2 linked regions of the Mus musculus genome follow. The protein of the gene in region 1 interacts with the protein of each later gene in a pairwise test. Links are inferred from orthologs where the notes say so. Each region holds a gene or a part of one and is shown on either strand. Other genes may lie near its edges.

The links. The genes of interacting proteins can lie anywhere in the genome.
Region 2: the proteins of Glrx3 (region 1) and Lce1a1 interact in binary tests that used the Homo sapiens proteins (3 or more experiments, as listed by UniProt). The two-hybrid records come from large-scale screens. The link is inferred for Mus musculus from reciprocal best matches to the Homo sapiens genes GLRX3 and LCE2D.

Annotation. Positions count from the first base shown.
Region 1 is NC_000073.6:137,461,569-137,465,081, forward strand, and holds part of Glrx3 (glutaredoxin-3), read left to right. Parts: intron 1-1,392; coding exon 1,393-1,445; intron 1,446-2,529; coding exon 2,530-2,569; intron 2,570-2,846; coding exon 2,847-2,939; intron 2,940-3,513. UniProt on the Homo sapiens protein: Together with BOLA2, acts as a cytosolic iron-sulfur (Fe-S) cluster assembly factor that facilitates [2Fe-2S] cluster insertion into a subset of cytosolic proteins.
Region 2 is NC_000069.6:92,646,030-92,649,532, forward strand, and holds Lce1a1 (late cornified envelope 1A1), read right to left. Parts: upstream 2,279-3,503; 5' UTR 2,228-2,278; intron 1,160-2,227; 5' UTR 1,137-1,159; coding exon 705-1,136; 3' UTR 503-704; downstream 1-502. UniProt on the Homo sapiens protein: Precursors of the cornified envelope of the stratum corneum.

The DNA.
Region 1 (3,513 bases):
CCATTTTGCTTGACTTTACCATCAGCATCTCAGCAGGGTGCATGTCTTTCTGCTGCCAAACTTTGTCAGCTGAAGTGGTCAACGCTGCTAGCGCTCAGCCAGTACCTTTTGTGAGGCTGTGGACTGTGGGCAGATGTCCGCCCTGGTTCTTTGAGGCTGTGGACTGTGGGCAGATGTCCGCCCTGGTTCTTTGAGGCTGTGGACTGTGGGCAGATGTCCGCCCTGGTAGTCCCGAGGTAGTCCTTAGGTCCAGAAAGTGAGAAGTAACCCTGGCAGTGGTCCTCGTGCTCCGAGGTGACATGATTGCTTCTTGGGGTCCGATGGACGTAGGTACTGAACTAGTTTGGTAGGTCCCCTTGCACTCATTAAGTGGTGAAAGCTGACTCTCTCCTGTTAGATTGGTAATTTCAAAAAGCTAGTCCTGTCATTTCTCTTACATTTTGCTGTTAACGGTTGTTTCAGCTGTTTAACTTCAGGCAGGCAAAGCTGTGCAGTTTGCTTTCCTCTCAGGATAAGGAGACTAAATCTCAGAAGGGTGAGGCAGTGGAGTGAGGAAGCTGCCCAGGTACAAGCCACCCTGGGCAGGCAACGCCACAGAGGCCCCTGCCGTCATTGTGCCTTTTTGTGAATGGATCTGTTAATGCCATAGGACTGTTTTAACATCAGGTTGTCGTAAAGGTTGCCATGGTATCAACACAGTGAAGGCCATTAGTTAAAACAACTAATTAGTTAATGTAGCTAGTGTGATGAAGTAATGAGGAAGACATTAATATAAATTTAGCCTGTAGATACCACTGTGTTAGGACCTAGACTGTAACTGGGGCAATGCACAGTGTTAATTAATGACTTACAGTAATGATGAAGCGCACTCTTGCTCTGCCACTGTTGAAAGCAGACTTTGATTCTCCACATTTCTTGTGCCTGTCTAGGAAGAATTTGTATGTCTTGGAAATGGTGTCCTGGGAGCTCTTAAGTTGTTGTGTATTGTCAGCCTTTTCTCCCAGGATAGCTGGGGCTTGGGGATCTACCCAGGAATAAAGCCGAGGATTTCAATCACTTCCAGTAGCTGATGCCACAGCGCCAAGATCTGGCTTAACCGCGTTCTGACTCTTTGCTTAGAGCAAGAAAAAGGCTGGTGGTTCTGTGTAGATGATCTACGTTTTATTTAGGGGACCATCCTGACCACAAAGATTTTAAGCTGCTGCATGTCACTCAACTTAAAAGGTTAAAGCCAAAGTCAGTCTGAAGGTTGTGTGGGATGATGTCAGAGGGGATGGAAGAAGCACAGGAGCCGGGTCCACAGAGAGGTCGGGGTGCTGACTAGAGCATTCGAAGTGGCCACACTCACTGGGTCTGTGGAAAAAAAATGTACTTTTTTTTTTTTAAATTCAGGAAGCAAAATGTGGATTCAGCAAACAAATTCTGGAAATACTGAATAGTACTGGGTATGTAAATCTTGTGTTCCATTCTGCTCCTGATACTTCACAGTTTTAATGTTTAAACATATTTGCACAATACTTATTTATTGACACACATTTCTAATTTTTATAGTGTATTTTGAATGCTTTAACTTGGACCAAAAAGGACTTTTCTGGCCCTTGTTCTCACCATGCATAAAAAAGTACAGGGAGACAATCACATAATTAGCATTTTTCTGAAGCCTTGGCTTTCAGAGCTAGGAAGATGGCTCAGTGGTTTAGTGTGTTCTGCTCTTTAAGAAGTTGAGAGTTGGTTCCCAGCATCCATATCAGGCATCTCAAAGCTGCCTGTAACTCAGGTCCTGGAGGACCCGAAGCCTCGGCCTGCTTTGTGTGGAGTATGGTGAACTGTTTAAGTCTCTGCTCCTGTGTTGGAGCTGCTGGGCTAGAGATGTCCGGTGGGGGCTCCCTGATTGATTTTTGTGCTTAAAACCAAATCCATCTGTGTGGAGCTGTTTAGTACATGTTCTTTTGGACATTTTTTCAAATGTTTGATTTCTCTTGTTTCATGATTGCTTTTCAAATTACAGTATGTGTTCTGATCATACTTTGAATAGATAGCCTGTTCTCTGAAGTTGCAGATCTGAAGTTGCAGGGTGGAAGGCAGTTATGTAGCACAGTTTGAATATGACCTTTAAAAAGTGGCTCTTCCTTTTAAAGCAGGATTGGGGTCCAGCAAGCTGGGGTAGAGGGTGTAGGTGCTCATCCCCCAAGACTGGTGCTCTGCGTGTGAGCCACATAGTGGAGGAGAGCTGACTGCTTCTACAAGTTGTCCTCTGACTGACACACAGATGTCTTGGTCTTCTACTGTGCCTGAGAGAAATCTGTCACGTCCCACTGTAGCTAGTCTTGTCCATTGAAAGACTGAGTGATTTTTGTCTTAGAACGACAAGCCTGAGAGTAAAGATCGTCCCCATGGCTTTACAGCAGGCTTCCTAGAGGAAGTGTGTTAGCGATGGACTGCTTTTCTTGACTGTATTAAAAACACTATATAGATTTTATGGTTTTGTTTAAAATGAACACCTAATAAAAATGCTTTCTCCTTTTGCAGGGTTGAATATGAAACTTTTGATATACTGGAAGATGAAGAAGTAAGATATAGGTTTTCTGTTTCTCTCTCTCCTTTTTTTGGTTTTTGTTTTTTGTTTTTCCAAGACAGGGTTTTTCTGTGTAGCCCTGGCTGTCCTGGAACACACTTTGTAGACCAGGCTGGCCTCGAACTCAGAAATCCACCTGCCTCTGCCTCCCAAGTACTGGGATTAAAGGCGTGCGCCACCACGCCCGGCTAGGTTTTCTGTTTTATCCCATGTTTTAGCTTTGTTCACAGGGTCTGATGGGAAGGATTCAGGATTTCTGTTGTTCCTTTAGGTGCGTCAGGGATTAAAAACGTTCTCAAATTGGCCAACCTACCCTCAGCTGTATGTGAGAGGGGATCTTGTTGGAGGATTGGATATTGTCAAGGTAAGAGCTTTTCACTGCTGTTCTCAAGAATTGACATACTTGTTATGTTTAAGCATCCAGCTGGGGTGGTGTGGGGCTCCTCCTCTCCAGCCTGTCAGTGTAGGTGCGCGTCTCATGCTTCCTCCTGCTCAGCTGCCAGGCAGAGGGAAACGCTCTAGCTGAGTGTCCAGATGACCTCAGAGGACCTGCTGTGCTAACTACTGCACAGCTTCCTTCCCTGTTTTCTTGTCTGTCAGTCCATCTTTACCTGGTTCCCGAAACTTTAGGTTTTCTTGTATCTTCCGTATTTAGATCTTTTTATCTCCATCCTTTGGGGCCCAACTTCTTTTGTAAATGTGTATTTCTCCTGCTGGGAACATTTCTCTGCTCTAAAATTCTTACTGCATTTTTATTTTTTGTTAGTTGTAATTGTTTCTCTGGGTCATTTTCCTTTTCCCTTAACCACCCTTAACGTGCAGGCGTGAGGATGAAGACTAGGAGATCATGGTCTGTCTCGGCCTTCCCAGTTCTGAGATTACGGGTATGAGCCATCAAAGCCGGCCCTACATTATTACTTCAAATCCTTCCTGATGCT
Region 2 (3,503 bases), on another chromosome or scaffold:
TGGGACTCAAAATTTTCCATATGATTTCAGCATCCCTGAGCCCAGAACAGGAGGAGAAGAGAATAACCAGCCTTCAACATGTGCCTCCTCTACTGCTTATCTGAGGTTATCATGGCAAAGGTAAGCAGCAGCCCCAGACTGATGGCTAACAGCAGAGCTGATGCGACCTCTGCTTCAACAGCAGCCACTACTGCCATCACTACTACAACATCCAGAGCTGTAATTATGACAATGGACATAATGGAGTAAAAGATATAAACCCAGAAAAAAAAATAGATATGCATCCATAGAGGAACAGTAACACCATTGGGCAACATATGGGATAGACTGACCCTCACTGTATGCAGTAAAGGTGAATAAAGAGCCACTGTCCACAACCCGTGAGTTAACCTGCTACTGTTCCACACAGCCCCGGGCTTCTGAGTCATCTTTGGAACAACTGAGCCTTAATTGGCAAAACTGATTTGTAAGATGCTTGGAGTCAAATAATCAAGAGTCTAGAGAAGATCGTTAGGGTAGAACTTTATTATTTTGTCCCCAAGAAGACAAACCCAGCAATAGGGGAACATTTAAAACATTTCACAAGATTACAGCATCTTTGAGCCCAGGACACAAAAGGCAGCAGGAGAGAAGAACAGGCCAAGGAAGGTCCACTGAACATGGCTTTCTCCTGAATGGTTTGTCTAAAGTGTTAGTTGCTCAGGTCAGCAGCAGCCTCCAGACTGCTGGCTACTGCCACAGCAGCCACTGCTGCCACCACTGCTGCCACAGCAGCCACTGCTGCCACCACTGCTGCCACAGCAGCCACTGCTGCCACCACTGCTGCCACAGCAGCCACTGCTGCCACCACTGCTACAACATCCAGAGCTATGGCGATGGCGACGGAGGGATCTGCGGGGTCTGTGATGGCTCAGGCAGCAGCCTCCACCCCCAGAGCTGCAGCAGCCTCCAGAACTGCAGCATCCCCCAGAGCTGGAGCCACAACAACCCCCAGAACCCAGACTACAGCAGGAAGACACAGGGGGACACTTGGGAGGACACTTAGGGGGGCATTTTGGAGGGCATTTTGGGGTCTGGCACTTGGGAGGACACTTGGGAGGGGGCTGGCACTGCTGCTGGTTCTGCTGGCAGGACATCTCTGCTGGTGAATGCTCTGGGGCTGTGGAAGAATCATAATGCAAATTAGAACCAGGATCCTGGGGTCATCCTATCTACTTCTAAATATCACTGATAGTCATAGAAAATCTATATTCTGTAGTTTTATTTCTAACAAACCCCAAAGCATTCTGTGATAATGGCCTGTAGAGCCAAATTATCTTCTAAACGTTGACAGGAAAAAATAGGTTCTTATTCTTAAAAAAAAAAAAAAAAAAAAAAAAAAAAAAAACAATCTCCTGTAAAAACCCATAAGTTGAGAGATTTCATAGTCTGGAAGCATCTTCAGAATAATTTCCTCCTCCACTTAATTTCTCTGAATGACATCTTTTATAATGCCACTGGGCTTGAGCTACATCTATTGTATATCATATCATGATTCTTATAAGAGTTCTATGGATTCCTGAAGCTTTCCAAACTGATAAGGATAATGACATCAGAGAAGGAAGTAAAGATTATTGCTAGGTGTTCCAACTGCATTTAATAAAAGACCTAACTTATCCATTCCTGAAGCTATGAACCAGGTCTTGTTCCTCATTTCAGGCAAATCTGAACTCATGTCAGCACCCCATGTTGACTGGTGTTTGACATAATAATTCTTGTGCTCGTTGTCTTAAAATTTCTGAGCAGCCTGTGATCTAGTTCCAGATCTATGGCTCTGTCTGCTCCAGGCCCAAAGATCCCTTGGTACTGTGTCCTCACTGTTTGTCTTGCTTTCAAGGCTTTCCAAGAGAGCTGTTACAAGAGGGAGCCCCCTCCCTCCTGAAGCCTATCAAGGTCCAAGGCTTTCTGCATTTTAGGTTTTAATCCTGAGCCCCACTCCACAGGAGGGCAGAATATCCACTCTGGATTCTTAAGTCAGAGGTACTCAATTCCTTCTAATACCTCCCATGAGTTTTAGAGTCCCCTGGACTCTACCATTCCTACCCAGCCTTCATTTTCCCCCATTGCTCTCTGCTCTGCTAACATGTCTCTGAACTCTGTGGCTTTACCCAGCTCTTTTCCACTTGCCACCTCTCCTCCTAGCTTCCTTCTAGTATAGGCCATGTTCCCAATCCCAATGGGCACTTACCAAGATTCCAGGTACACAAGATCTTTGGATACCTCGGAAGGTGAGTGAATGGAGGTGCTCTGTCCCTCAGCCCTTTTAAACTGACTCTGGGCTCTGCCCAAACCTGTGAGACAGTGGTTGGGCATGAGAGGCCCTGCCTACACTCACATGATCTTCTGATTAGTGATGAACAGATAGGTGTTCCTCACCAGCCTTCCTCTGTGGAGCTCATGGATGCTACATCCAGCATGGATGATGATGTAGACATAAGATGAGGAACTGGATTCCTGTTAACCTTCATCTCACATACCTGAAGGATCCATAGAGTATCTCATTGCTCAGCTGATCACATTACTGCTCTTTCTGAAATGATCCACACTCCAAATTTCATGTTTAAAGTACAAAACTGTGATTTTTGTGTCCGTCTTCCTCCAATTTGCCCTTTATTTTATGTTTATATTATATTTTATGTTGAGAGTGGTTTCTTCTCTTCTCATTGTCTCACCCTTAACACTATCATTAGTTCTGTTTGTTCCTATAGAAAGCTTCACTTTAAATTTCATGTCACATATACAACTTTATTTCTCTATAACAAATTGAGCAATGAAAATATGAGAGAATATACATACTTTTCTTTCTGCAACTACTTTAATTCACCTGATAGAATTATCTTAAGTTATTTCCATTTCTCTTAAAATAACTTGCTTCTTTTAGAGGAAAAAAAAACCCAATGTAAACCATATTTTCTTAATCCATCCCTCTACTGTTAGATATGTAGATTTGTCCTGTAATTCATCTATGGTGAAGACCCATGACAGTAATATGCAAGTATTTGTGCTATGTTGACTTGGTGTTCTTTGAGTAAATGTCCACAAGTATATAGCTAGATATAATAGGTCCCTTTTCCATAATTACTTGTATTATCCCTGGGGTAAGAAAGAATCTCAGTGTAGTTTAGATTTGGATTTGTGTTTCTTCTATGGCTATCAAATATGATTTTTTCAAGTGTTTGGAAGCCATTTGTATTTCCATTTCTGAGAAATATCTATTAATTCTATCAGTTCATTTATTGAGTTATCTTAGTTCTTTGTACATCAGAGGTATTAATCCTCTTTCAGATACATAGTTAGCCAAGATTACTATCATTCTGATATTTCATTTTACTGTTTTCTTTTAAGTATAGAAGCTTTGCAATTCCATAAGGTCTCATTTGTCCCTTATTAGCTTTATTTCTTGAGTAACTGCGTCCCATTCAGGAAGTCCTTGCCCATGCCAACATATTGAAGTATTTCCCCTA